2 linked regions of the Astyanax mexicanus genome follow. The protein of the gene in region 1 purifies or fractionates together with the protein of each later gene. This does not show direct contact. Links are inferred from orthologs where the notes say so. Each region holds a gene or a part of one and is shown on either strand. Other genes may lie near its edges.

The links.
Region 2: the proteins of chek1 (region 1) and hax1 purify together in Homo sapiens (affinity purification with mass spectrometry; 3 studies listed by BioGRID and IntAct, with this or other methods). This does not show direct contact. The link is inferred for Astyanax mexicanus from reciprocal best matches to the Homo sapiens genes CHEK1 and HAX1.

What each region holds. Positions count from the first base shown.
Region 1 is NC_064424.1:6,593,629-6,600,697, reverse strand, and holds the start of chek1 (serine/threonine-protein kinase Chk1), read right to left. Parts: upstream 3,042-7,069; 5' UTR 2,878-3,041; intron 1,722-2,877; 5' UTR 1,703-1,721; coding exon 1,638-1,702; intron 1,543-1,637; coding exon 1,319-1,542; intron 577-1,318; coding exon 512-576; intron 7-511; coding exon 1-6. Other genes in the region: cfap53 (cilia- and flagella-associated protein 53), read left to right, coding at 4,233-4,304, 5,594-5,823, 5,948-6,121, 6,555-6,858. UniProt on the Homo sapiens protein: Serine/threonine-protein kinase which is required for checkpoint-mediated cell cycle arrest and activation of DNA repair in response to the presence of DNA damage or unreplicated DNA.
Region 2 is NC_064410.1:27,049,190-27,057,118, reverse strand, and holds the start of hax1 (HCLS1-associated protein X-1), read right to left. Parts: upstream 3,108-7,929; 5' UTR 3,025-3,107; coding exon 2,954-3,024; intron 1,377-2,953; coding exon 1,126-1,376; intron 16-1,125; coding exon 1-15. Other genes in the region: ubap2l (ubiquitin-associated protein 2-like), read right to left, coding at 6,159-6,254, 7,216-7,410, 7,503-7,586. UniProt on the Homo sapiens protein: Recruits the Arp2/3 complex to the cell cortex and regulates reorganization of the cortical actin cytoskeleton via its interaction with KCNC3 and the Arp2/3 complex. Slows down the rate of inactivation of KCNC3 channels. Promotes GNA13-mediated cell migration.

The DNA of each region.
Region 1 (7,069 bases):
ATATTCCTGTGAAAATAACACATTTCAGAAAAAACCTGTTACAGTGCTTTACAGTTTTAAAAAAATATAATAGCTATAATAAATTGTACACAATATAATGTGACGTTATAGATAACATTTAAAAGTCCATATCAGTATTATGTGATGAAATAGGTATTTTTGTATAATTGTTTATATATAAAATGTTAGCAGTTTATATGCATGCACTGAATATTCTGGAACTTTCAGATATATTTTCATAGATTTTTTGCTACTTCATTACCATTTTGTGCAAAATCAATTTTGGTAAGATACTGATTACAAAATAGACAAAAATTATACATTCATTGAATAAAGCTTTGACATTTATTTTGTTGGCATAATATATTTTTAGATCAAATATAATATTATCAGAGGATTTTTTGTATTGTCAAAAATATAATCATCGGAAAAATATTGGGCTATAAATTGTTGGACCATATTGAACACCCCTAATAAATAATTAATATAATAAATAAATATCAGCACTCACCACTCCTCCTATCAGCTGCTGGAAAAACCTGTGAGCCTCTTTTTCTGGCATTCCCACATCAGGTTCTGAGAAACAACACAAATATAAATGTTTAATTATCTTCAAATATTTGCTAAATAGACCAGCTGATCCCTGTAGTTGCCTTCATTCTGTAGTCGGCTACATGCCCATTACTAGAAACTCCAGGTTTAAGATTGTTTTCTCTGAATTATGGGAATTTTGGGAAAAATGCTGTTGTTGCATCCTGTGAAAAACAAGAATATACTAAACCTGATATAATACATTTTTCACCTAGAAATTACTGGATGCTTTTGAATAATATGTCCTTTAAGCTTTGTCTAACATGTCTGCAATTTGTACATTTTCTCCAAATGTTATAGTTTCAGATTTGGAACATTTTTCTGCATCATAGTGTTTGTTTTTAGTGCTTTTGGTTTATTTATTTATTTCTGCATTTTTCTCAGGATCCACAGAACTATGCAAACACCAATAAAAGTTGGGCAATATGACAATATATTATCATATTTCACAATGCTTTTCCTTAAAGCATATCAAGAATATCATCACTGCCAAAAGAACACTGACCCAGCTGTACATTTAACTGCATAAAGTGTAGAAAATCCTGTTTAAGTATATGACAAATCTCTGAAAAATAACAGTTTTTAGGAATCTACCACTGCTGTTCCCTTTTCTCCAAGTGTCAAAACATTACATGTAATATAATATTTTAACCAATTATTTAATTAGGGTCAGACTAAGGTTTATTACGTTTAATTTAAACATTAAATCAATGTTTTCTGCTCTCACCTATTCGATCAAACAGCTCTCCTCCACTGCAGTACTCCAGGAAGATGTACTGGATGGGCCCCTCACTCCTGTGCCCGAAGAATCGCACGATGTTGGCGTGTGACAGCATCTTGTGCACACAAACCTCTTTCTTCACATTGTCCAGACAGTCTTTAGCTCGGGATGTGTCGACAACTTTCACAGCCACTGCCTCCTCTGTCTTTCTGTTCACTAACAGGCGTACCCTGAAAAAAACAGCATAAAAAAATAAATATTCAGAATCATTTTAATGGTTCCAGAACAGACAGCACAGAGAAAAAGCCCACAGATGGACACTCACTCTCCATATGCACCCTCTCCTAGGGTCTGCACCAGATCCCAGTCTTGAACAAAAGGAACAGCCATTATCTGAATTGAACAGACACTGAACACAAAACCAGAACATTAGATCAGAAATCTCCACAAACAGGTTTCTAAATGAGTATTCTGTTGTATTTATTTTGCCATGTAAAGCTTTAAAGGGTATATTTTGTATAGTTGTTTATACACAAACTAAATATACATATTCTACAATTTAGTATTATGGCAGATTTGCGTTGTTATATCAGATTATTTTCATATTACATTATTTATTTTGTTACATACTTATTTCATACAAAATCATCTTAGAATGTTATTGTTGTTTCCAAAAAACGACAACAAAATGATTTCTTTATCTGCTAAGTTTATCACAACAATACTTTAAAATATCTTGATTATTTTACTGTTGATGAAAACCCAATCATATAATTGGCAGTGTGGGCAGTGTGCCAACCAAGTCATGTTGGAAAATGAAATCCACATCTCCATAAAAGTTGTCAGCTGAAGTAAGCATGAGGGCTGTAAGATATCGGATTTTATTTTCCAGCAGGACTTAGTTGGCACACTGCCCACACTGTCAAAAGTACCAACTGGTCTTATATAATATTCTAACTTTCTGAGCAACTGATTTTGGGGTTTTCATAAGCCATAATTAACCATTAACTATAACATAAATAAACACCTAAAATAGATCACTCTGTGCGTAATACATCTATATAATATATAACATATATCACATATTGAACCGAATTACTTAATCAAAGTAACTTTTCAATGATATTCTATTTTTTTTGGAGATGCACTTGTATACACATATACAGATGCAGTTGTAATAATGCTGTAAGTTAACTGCAATATTAAGATACAGTACAGTCATTGACGTATCAATAACTTATCAATATTAAGCTTATCTATTGATAGTGATTATCTACTCTCTTGAGAGGCCAGCCTGTAACGTTAGAGTTTCTCTTATTAAAGTTTCTATTGTTTTCTCACTTTTTTCTAACATTAATCTAATCCGGCAGTTACCCATTAAACCCTTCTTATATATTTATATTCAATATTTATCCTAAATTGATATTTATTTATTTATATGTATTAATATAGACGAAGTTCAGGATCTGTGATCTGCAGCAGATAACGTTACAGTCAGAGAGCCGGACTGTATAACAGCAGTTAAATAAACAGTGTTTCTGAGTCTCAGCGCTGATCTAACTCACCTCACACACCGCAGCTCTGTAGTGGATTAAGGGGAAATTCTCCCATATAAATAATAAGCGCGTGTTAGCGCAGAAAACACGATTTATTAATGAGTATATTATATATCCGCTGCTTCCTCCAGCCACACAGCAAAACAAACTTTGGCGCGTTTAGTAGCAACGCGCTCACAGGAAGCACGATACAGTACCACCACTTTTCAAAATAAAAGCCTCAACAAGTCTTATTCAGAATTAAGTTTAGAAGCAAGTGATTAATGAGTGGGCTGTGCAAAATTGGGGAGAAAATGGGTATTTTAAAAAATAAAATAAAGAAAGTGATTGAAGGCTAAAATAAAATAACATAAATACACCATAAAACAATAATCCTATTTAATCCTATATATACCATATATAGTGACACAGAAATATCGTGATATTAAAAATCCATATTGTGATGATAGGGATGTTCTGTCTTAAAAGTAGTCTGTTATTTACTGTGAAGTTTTAAGTGTATTTATTGTATAATTGTTTTAGTTAGCAGTTTATATCAGCGCTGTCCTATGAAAAAAAAAACACTTATCTCCATTTTTGTTAATTTTCAGTTTACTACATAATTTGAACAGACAACCTGTCCCTCACACTGAAATAAACTCTTTTTATATTGATTTCCACTGAAAGTTTACAAGGTTTTTTCTGTTTTGGAGATCAGTGTTTTTTATTGGACAGCGGCAATATGCATGCACTAAATATTCTGCAATATTTTTTGCTGCATTATATTATTTTATGCCGTATTATTTGAATGAATTATTTTAGTTTTTTCCCAAAAATACAGTTAATTACCAGAATAAAAATAATGCTAGCATGATTGATGACAATTATATTTAAAGTAGTTGCAACAATAATACATATCTAAGTGTTTCTAACACTGATTCATTTAACTTTTAAATACCCATTATCAAAAGCTTGGTCTTAAGGAAGAAAATGTGCGATTAATTGGGATTTTTTTTATATTATTGACACATTTTTTTACAATTGTTGTGTCTTGTACTGAATTATTTTATATTGTTTTGTGTTTAAAAAAAGTTTTTTTTATATAAAAACGATCAAACATTGATCAAATATGATTTTGTTTAATTGCTCCATACGAACTCATTCATTTTAGGCTCAATCAGGAGCGCCCTCTAGTGTCAAACATACCCAGAACACATTAATAAGGGGGTATTCTCCTCTGTAGATTATCTCTGGTATCGCTGGTTGCTAGGATACAGAAGGGCATTACCGCAAACAGAAGTGTCCTCCATCAGGTTTAAACTCCCCAGAGCAATACTTAGGAAAATTTAGGATTTGTAATATTAATAATTAGCTAATTAGTCAATATGCTGATGAGTCAGAGACACCGAACACAGTGCCGGGAGTTCACCGGACCCACCCCTCACTCAGTGGCAGTGGTGAGTTTATTTTGTCTTATTTTATCAGAGGCTCCAATGTGTTATTATTCAATTCTGATAAACAGTAACTAGATCAGGAAGGTTTATTACATAAATATGACTTAAATATGATATTAAATATTACAGCAGGCCAGTGGCTACATATCTAGTATTTAAAATCCATTCAACAGTTTAAACTCAGAATTCTCACAGACTTAATTTACCAGTCAAACTTTTCAACACATCTTTTCATTCAATGTTTTTTATTTATTTATTTATTGTAAGTTTTTTTCTACATTGTAGATTAATATTATGGCCAAAAAAAACAATTAAGGGACACATATGGAATAACATAATAAACAGTAAAACAAAAAATAGATTAGACTATAAACGAGCCAAAGAAAAAGTTTATTAGCCAGTGAAAAAATAACTTAACCCTGCCCACTGCACTAAAAAAACAGCACTAAAAGCCAAAGAGGCAAATTAAAACACCCCATTTTTAATTATTGTATGTATTTAATATAATGTAATGTATTCCAGGAACTCCTTCAAGACGCTGAGAAAACTTTTCCAGGTGACACTCCCTCATGAAGACACTGAGATTAAAATACCAAGATACTCAATACTCAAAGATAAATGTACTACTTTAGAGTTTATACTCTAAATTATAAAACATATTCTGGTTTGTTTAAAACTTGTTTAAAGAACAATTCATCACGTGTTCCTGTAGATATAAGGTCTTCATTATTAAATGTAAATGTAAAAAAATATATAAAAAATATATAAAATACATTGAATGAGAAAACGTGTACATTTCTGCTGCTATGGTAAGACTGGTGACAATCTATTGTCCTGTGTTTGTTAGCTAAGTTAGCCTAGCAACTGTGTCCTCTTAGAAAGTCTGCATTTTGCTTTGTTTCTGCTCCATACAACTCTACCAGGTATTCATTCAGTCATAGAACTTCTAGGAGTCCCAGAATTTGATTCCCTAGTTCCCTCACCATGTTGTCATATTTTGGGGTTTTATATGACATCATAATATATGTATATAAATAAAATCAAGAATTTTTATAATGAAAAATGTAAAAAAAATTCTCAACACAAATCAGTATCAAATGTTTTAAAACTGCAGATGTAATTTTTAAAAGCTTTTAAACAACAGTTATAAAAAGTAATTCTATTAAGGGGGCCAAGTCCAAATGAGTTTAGAGCTCCTCATATCGCTAACGATATGTCCCACCCCTACTTGTTATTGTGAAGTCTTTTCTTATTAATGATTATTGATTAATTATCTATTTAAAATATTTTAGAGGGCACGGCATCCATCATCCAAACCCCCAGATTACTTTATTCTGGAGAGGAGGAAACAGGAAGTCAGTCGAAACAAGGTGCTAGAATTCACCAAGGACCAGAAAACCTGTGACCTGAAGATGCTTTGGGAAAGAAACACTGAACAGCGGATGGTGTCGGCCACTATTGACAGGCGGGTCAATGAGGCTATGGAACAGTATCAGATGAGCATCGATGAAAGGAGAGAAAGGTTCTCAACTCAGTTCATTTTTACACTAATTAAAATCTACTACCGTACTTTTATTATGAGTAGTTTCTTACTTTTTCTCTCCTTCTTTTATTCTTTTTCTTTCACACTATTACTGTTCTTACAGGCTGCGTAAGATGCTGGAATCAGAGGAGAGGGAATTTCTGCGGGCAACAGAGGAGCAGAACGAGACTGTGCTGGAGAGGCAAACCAAAATGAGAGCGAGGGCAAAGTATCTGCAGGAGAAAAGAGAGAGCGAGAGGCAGAAAGTCGCTGCTGAGAAACTTGACCAGCTCTTTAGGTACAAATGTTTTTTTTTTTTTATTACTGCTAACTGTGCATAACATAACTGTATCTAAAGGATATGCTGTAAATGGCAACTTACAGCATGCAAAGGGTTTTGGAAACACATAATGATATATAGTGAGCACACATGCCTGGAGTGGTGGGCATTTGTCACTTAAGGGCTTAAGGGCCACAGTCCTGTCATCAATAACCTGCTACTCTAATAACATGTGACCATTAGGGGTAGTGGTGGTGCAGAAGTTATATTATAGGTTTGAAATCAGGGCTCGTCAAGCTACAGTAGGTCCTTAACTCCACATGCTGCTGCGATGTCTGCCCACTGCTCCAGGCATGTGTGCTAATGTCACTGTGAATGTCACTGTGAATGCAAAAGGCATACAATATTTATTTTAATTAATCATGGGTGTTTTACTCCGCTTGTATTTCAGAGAGCAGTGTGAGGAGCTGAGGACTGCAGAGACCCTGCGCAGACGGGACGAGATCTGCAGGGAGCGAGCTGCTCAAATCCGTACACGGGACGAGGCACGCCGTCTGCATAAGGATGAAGAAATGCTGTTCGCTAATCTGTGGGAGAACGACCGACTGGCCAAAGAGCAGCGCGAGATCCAGGAGGCTCAGCGTCAGCGCGAGAGCAACTTTCACACCCTGGCTTTTCTGCAGGATCAGATGATGGCGGCTGAGCAGCAGAGACAGCAGGCCAAACAGCTCAAAGAGGAAGAGGCCAAGTTACTGGTACTAGTTTCCTAACAGTTTACATGTAAAGATTAGTGGTAGACAGTGTTTCAATTTGGTGTTGTGTTTAAACCACTTGCACCAGTTAGAAGTGTTGTACTCTGTTGTCAGATCCGACTGTTCTGATTGGATAGCAATCAAACTTTTCCTTTACTCAGATTTTATTAATATAATAGGATCTTTTTATGCTATAAAAGTTTTTCTTAAATTT
Region 2 (7,929 bases), on another chromosome or scaffold:
CAATACTAGGGAAACCTAAAGATAAGAAGAAGAAAAAAAAACAGTTTTGTTTAGTGATCTTCAGTGGCCTCGACAGTCAAGGAAATTTATTTAGTCAGAAAACATTTTGTGGGATGTGGTAAAACAGGAGATTTGCAGTCTACAATTATTCTGAGAAATTTGTAGGAATTGTGTGATGTAACCACGAAAAGTTGGACTACAATCTTAAGGAATGTTTCTAACAATTCCTTGGAAAAATGAGTGTCAAAAATCAAGGAAGGCCCTAACTGGAATTTTTAACCAATTACTAGGTGACTGTATATACACATATATTTATGGCACCAATTGTGGGTTTTGTAGTTTGCATTCACTTGTAGGAGCTTAGAAAACTGATGCGCTGTTACACTATATTCACAGCCATAATGCTTAAAATTTTTTTCCAGGTTTAAGTTATTTTTCATTTGTGCAAAAAAAATATGATCTAATAATCTGGTCATCAAAGAAAACCTTTCCTTCTTTCTATTCCTTATTTTTCCTCTTTCTTTTTACTTTTTTATAGCCATCTAATATTTGAACATGCCTCACAAAGGACAAGGTGTGTTTAAAGGAAAAAATATACAATTAGACAACAAATCAGAGTCCCTTTTAACCAGACCTAAAAGGTGTGAAAACGCCTTTAAATGAACATATTTAATTAAAAATAAAATTTCACCTTTTATAACCTTACATTGACTTTTTATATTTTTTTTACATTTAAATATCAATTATTTTTATTATATTTGTTATAAGAAGAAATTACAAGTAATCCCAGAAAATTGGGCGATTACATTTTTTTTTTTCTCAACCGATAGTCCTGTTTACCGTCGATTTTCATCACAGCCAGCAGATGGCATATTTTCCTTTTACTGCAGGAAACAGTGAACGAGCCAACTGCTGCCACTTAATGAGATACAGGCAACCAATGGTGAGAAAAAAATTAACATTCATTGTTCAGGTTGAATTATAGATATGTAGAATCTATTCTTCACTATAAAATATGGAAGTAAAAAGTCAGCAGAAAAATAATTTTCTACAGTAAAGCACAGATAACAAAAATGTCTACTAAAGTGAGGTAACCAAGCATTTCTACTTCATTACTCGACACACCTGAAGAAAACGCATCTCCTCCAAAGCGGCCCAGCCCCTCCAAGATCAACTCCATCTCCCTGAACATCTGCCCGAACCCCGGCGGCTCATGTATGCGCACTCCGCTGGGTCCGAGACTGAACCCGAACCGGAAAGACTCGTCTAACAGATCTTCTTCCCCCGGGCGGCTCGTATCTTCATACAGAAACACAGCATCCTCATCATCATCATCTTCCTCATCGTGGGTCATTCCATCGAAGAAGGGCTCCCTGCTGAGAGAAGCTCATTAAAAAAACTCAGTTTAACAGACTGAACAGAAACTGTTCTAGAACAACTAAACCACACACTGAAAACAGACTGGTACCTGTAGGGAGCCAGCCAGCCAGACATAAACAAGTGACTACAAAAGTAAGGTTACTTTGTGTATGACCAACAGTTTTATTAACTAAAATGTCACTTCCATTTACTAGAATCTACTATCATTTACTATTAAAAACTCTCATTTCACAGGTCAGCTATGACTTTAGTTTTACTAGTAATAATATACTATACATATATATATATTAAAATCCCAGATTTCACAATATACTTAAAATCTGCTTTTAGCTACAGTGTACCAGCGAGCTAGAATTTACAGGAAACGTTGAAGCTCAGCTCGCTGGAATAACAGAATTATTTAATATATAATAGTTTCTAATCACAATCAGAAAGCCTGTGATTGTTTTAAATGAGTTTTTTAATGAGTTTATCTTTTTCCTATTTTATTTTAATTTATTTATTTTTTTTATTTATGTATTACTAATATTTTTTTATTCTAATGTTTTTATTTTGATTCATATGTTCTTAGTTCATTAATATTCATTTTATTTCTCATCATTTTACTTTACTTTGTAAATTTACATTTACATTGTAAATGAGGGTTACCTTCAATGTATTTCCGAGAGAAAAAAAAGCTTGATTAATTGATTGATATGTCTAGTATTAATGTGCAGTTCGAATATGTGCAGTTTTCCATCATATAGGTAATTACTGTGTCTCTAGGTGGGACTAGTAATAATAACATTATCTCTAAAACAATACACAATCTCTAAAATTGCACTAGACATCAACTAGCAAAAAACTTTATTATGGATTTAATTTAGTTATTTACTTAGTAAAATTTTACTAACTTAATTTTATTATTATTTACTATTATAACTTTGTTTTTTAATTGTAAATGTAAATCAATAGTATAATATCACTACTCAAAGGTGTGTTCAGAATAAGTTTGCTTGGCAATATGATCTTCACTACAGTACAGAGAGCATAGCTGATTAGGGAAAGTGGAGCTCTAGTAAAACCTGCAGGTCAGAGATCAGTAATTCGAGTTTATAATAGTAATAATAAGGAAAACCCTCTAATTATGTTGTTATTTAAGTGTTATTTGGGGCTAATGTGCTGTTATTAGTGTTGTCATGATCTGATGGCAGAGATAGGTGAACAGACTGAAAGTGTTAGGAACGCTATGTAGTTAGCTTACTTGCTAATTAGCTTAGCTGTCTGTATTTATCTGAAGGTTCAACTCCTCGGTCACTTCTTTACAATGTTTTGTGTAATTAAGAGTCTGGGGGTTTGTTTCTGTTATTAAATGTCAGTTATGATGTGAAACTCTGTATAGTTAAGCTAGGCTAGGCTAGGCTAAGCTAGTCTAGTGTACTGTAGCTAACTCGCTGTGGAACTTTCTCGCTCTCCTCTGTTTATTATGATGACATAGCGCTGAGCTGCTGTCAGGCTCTCTGAGTTTCATCACACGGACTAGTTCAGCTGCCTCTTTCTCCCGCAGACAGAAACACAGAACCACTCCACCCACCTGCGACCGTGTCCACCGTACTGCCCCCCGGGCAGCCCGAAGAATCCGCGGAACAGATCAAAGACGCTCATTTACCCCTGAAACTCAGAGCAGCGCAGAGAGAGCAGCCATAACCGGCCCAACCGACCACCGTCAAACAACCAGGTCACGTGACTAGAGGGGGTAGTGACGTAGCGCAGCACGGAGATCCCGCCCACTTCTTTATCCCCGTATATAAAAGGTAAATATTATACAATTACAATTACAATTTTATAAAATAAAATACCCTTAATTTCAAACATGTTTATTTAGACATAGATAATTATACACACCTTGGTAAACAAGGAGTTCAACTAATATATATATATATATATAAAAAAATAATAAATCCATTGGTACGTTGAAGCTTTTCAAATCCCACCATTTGAAAAGTGTTTTTTCTTTATTTTCGTATAGTTTTGTTGCTGGATATATTAATCGTGACATTTGCCTATTGATGTTTCTATTTAACCACGTTAGATTGTTGTAAATAGAAAAAGTAAATATTGAAAAGCACATGAGTAGCTATATTGGTAATGGCATTTTTTTTTTTCCTTATAAAATGTGCGTGAGTAAAGGACTTGTATATTCCCATGTTTCAACAGGGTAATACTGGTAGACGAGCTGATGTTGAACTTACAGCCAGAGCATTAAGTCTTCTAGCTGGAGTTTAAAAACTTTAAAATAATAAAATAATTAAACATTTGATATTTATTAACTTTGATTCTAGTTTCTGGATTTGTCAGAGCAGCAGAATACCCAGACTTTTAATTGAAATTTAAAATACTAAAGTCTGTGTTAAATTTGTCTATAAATGTCAGTTGTTTTCAAAGTGTGGAAACCTGTAAGAAATTTAAACTAGAACACTGTTCTTCACACAGTTTGATTTCCTACATGGAAAGTCAGAACCACCTCACTAATCCAGAGTTCAGAATCCACAATGGGTGCACTGCACTGCACATCAAGTAGTACAGTCCATAAAAAAAAAATGAGTACAGCACCAGACTCAGGTCTTCATTTAGAATTCAGCTACTCCAGGTAAATCAGAAGGGGCATGATGCAGGTCTGTAAACTGTCTCTAGCATTCAAGCTGTCAATCACTTTTACACCCCCTGTAACCCCACAGAGTTATAATTGTAGAACTTTTTTTTTTTTTTTTTTTTTTTTTTTTCAACTGATTTGCTGTGCCAATATTAGCACAGGGAAAACTAAAAATTTTAAGTCGATACTGGATATGGAAAGACAGTTTACACTACAAAAATTAAGAGCTGGTTTGTATTTGACATATATAGGGATGGGTGGACCCACACATCAGACTGTGGTAGATTGACAGGATTTCACACTGGTAATGTTCACACCAAGAAACCCAAAAAAGCAAGTACTTAGTGTGGTCAAATCACTTTAAATACCTTTTTTCATGAAACGCAACATGCAAATCCCAAACCTGCAACATAAGGTAAAAGCAAGAGCTGTCCAGGTGTTGAGCAAATCTGGGATCTTCTTCAGATTAGCACAGAAGTGAGGACTGTTTAGAAAGCATGGGACATCCAGAAAAGTGTTTTTCTTAAAAAAGACATTCACATCCAAAATGATGAAAATGTCTTTTTCCTGTTTATTTACTTAATATTTATAATATATATATTTTTTACAAAATAAAAAAAACATTATGAAACAAAAATGTTTAGTCTGTGTGTAAGTGAATTGAGAGGGGGAGGAAAAAAGCCATTGAACAAACATGGACTACAGTACTTGTGTTTTTATATATATATGTACAAGACAAGTTTATCCATTTAATTTTTTTTTTTTTAAAACGCACAGTACAAAAAGAAAAGTCACTGACAAAAAAGGAAACCCATAATACAATTCTCTCCATCAGTACTTTCCTAATTATCATAATATTAATAAAATAATATTTGGGGAAAGGTGATGACTCTAAGGAGAGGGAGAAGATTGCAATGTATAATGTCAGAAGAAAACAAAAATTAAAAAATAAAATTAAACAAAAACAAAATGTATGCCAACATATTTGCACATACAGAGCGACCTACGGATATTCTGACCTGTCCAGTTCACAGCATCTGTCCAACAGCAGAGACGCTGTGATGCCTCTGAGGCCAGAAGTCATGCCAGGTTATCCTACCCTTTCCCACCCACACAAAACAGAGCAACGGGATGAAAAATAAGGGAAAACAATACACTGGGATGCTTCATAGAAAGGAGCTCGAGTATGCATATGACCAGTGTCCTCTTCATTCCAAACCTGTACAATAATTACGGGCTCAAAGGGTTTATTTTAAGTGAGTCCAACATTCACACACCAATGGCCACCCTTATTAGAGACTCGTGTATGTAGGGGAGAAAACCAAAGAAAACAAAAAAAAAAAAAAAAAGTACTTAAAAAAAGAAAAGAAAAAGAACACTCCCACACTTGAAACATATCCAACATATTTGTGCCCTCGTATACATTTTTATATATCTATATATTTATATTTGGTAAAAAATAAACTCCACAACTGCTTTAGCCGATCTAGCGCAATACCTCCCCCCAAAAATAAAAATTGGTAAAAACCTAACAAGGAAGGAGAAAAAAAAAAAAAGATAGGGAAACAAAACCCAAACACACACACAACCACTAAGATGGTGTATCTGGGTTTGAAAACTGATAGCCCAAGCAGGGTGCAAAGTAGAGAAGAGTGGGAAAGAAGGGGAGAGCGAGCGAGAGACCAACAGAGGAACGCCCAAACAAAAACCCTCAACTTCTCTCCCATTATCCCCAGTCCTTCCAAAAATTAACATCCATAAGAAAAAAAACCTTTAGAAAACAGCTCTATGTTACATATGACAGAACGAGAGAAGGGGTTGGGGCATTTTTTTTTAACACAATACAAACTCCAAACACTCAATACTTGGCTCTTGAAGGCCTAAGTTACTAGAACCATACACCCTCCAAACCCCTTCCTCTTTAAGACTCCTCCTCCCCTGGCCACCCTGCCCCTCTCCACAGTGCTACCTCTTAGTACAGCACCACCACTGGTGCAAGATGGTACTGCAGAGACACTAGACAGGGAGAGGCGAGAGGGGCAGTGGAAGAAGGGCGCAAAGAGGGGATTTATTTTTCTTTTTTAGGGAGGAAGAAAAGGGTCCCCTAATTTAGCCTGTCGTACACCACATTGGAATATCGGGAGGGTTAATTGCCTCCCCAGTTATAGCTGTTGTAAGCAGACTTGTTGATCTGGGACTTCTGCTGAATGGAAGCATTCTGACTGCGCTGTCCAGAGCCACTCTGAAACAGATGGGTGGGGAGAGAGAGAGATAGAGAAACAGACACTTTAAAACACAGACCGATAATAAAAAAAGGGAAGAAGAAAAACAGAGCAGCACATCTATAGATGTAAATAGAGTGTGAAAATTCTGTCAGACTGATTTGAGGTGCCAAAATTGTAAAAGATGTTTTCAAATTCACAACACATTTTTCCCTCAAGTTGGACAGGCTACAACTGCAAAAGACTACGCAGGATTTATTGGAGTGGACATGATGGAGCTGGAAAAACAAAATTTATAAATCCTTGTCTGATAAATCTTAAATTTCCACAGTAAAATTGCAGGGTCATTCAGACATTCAACTTCAGACAAGGGCTGGGCAATATTGTAGAAAAAATAAAATAAATAAATATTAAACATGGTGCAACCAGAAACTTTTTTGTATTTAAGTTTAGGAAACATGTACAATGTGAAAATCTGTGGAAAAAAAAGAAGCAAAATGTCTATTGAGATTCTCTCTGCAGCTACTATATATAAAGATGTACAATCTCTATTACACCATTCTGAGGATTACATTAAATAAAAAAAAATTATTAACCTCCCATTGCTACTTCAGACTGGTCTCTCTTTATAGGACTTATATGGTCCTTGTTTAATGTATTAACAAACTGATCTCACTCTGGTGTTTAAGTCTAGGCAAATATTTTATGTCTGTAGGATATTTATTTTTTTATATTCAAATTTAAATGGATGAACATAAACATTATCAAAATCTTAAGGCTCTTTAAACAAAGTAAGATCATGGCCATCGAAGACCATTTATGTCAGTGGTACTGATAATAGCATGAAATACAATATTGTTCATTGCAAAGTTACTGTGATTAACAATTGTTCTTCTCTGTAATTTAATGCAACCACCAATTGGTCAGGTTTTTTATGCATTACTTCAGAGAGTTTCTAAAATAGTCATGGTGGCTCCTCACCTGTCCATCCTGCTGTAGGTGGTGGTGTAACATCTGGGAATGTGGCTGCTGATGGGGAGCCAAAATATGCATGAATGGGGCAGGAGCATAGCCAGCTGCAGCCGGAGGATTGATTGGACCACCACTGCCCAATGCTGAGGGCAGACTGAAGGAGGCGCCAGGTGTCCCCGTGTGGAAACCCTGCTTGTCAAATGACTGGAAAGAAAAATAGAAAAGATCAACACTAAAAAACACAGAAAAAAGTGTCACAAAAGAAATAATAAAGAATTTGTTTATACTGGACTCACCTGTGTCTTCGTGTAAACAGACCCTGAAATGTCAGGGACTCCAGTGTTGCTGGAGGTCACTGAAACACCTGAGGGAAAGCCAACACACACAAAGGCAAAGAGCCACAGTGTTATTCTAACAGAACCTCTGCTAAACACAATAGACAAACACTGAAGCTTCACTCAAAAGAAAAGACTATGTATCTAATAGGATTCACCAACCCTGCTCCCGCTTAAATGTTCAGCTCTACAAAGTAATTATTCCCCTGACCTGATCTAATTTCTGCCTTCAGGAGAGCTTGGTCAGCTGAATGGGGTGTATTAGACTACGTACTAGGGGTGTCACGATTCTCTAAATCCTCGATTCGATTTTATTTCTGATTTTAGGGTCACGATTCGATTCTTGATTTTCTTTTTTTACAGCAGAGGCCTATGCCAGTTTTAGGCC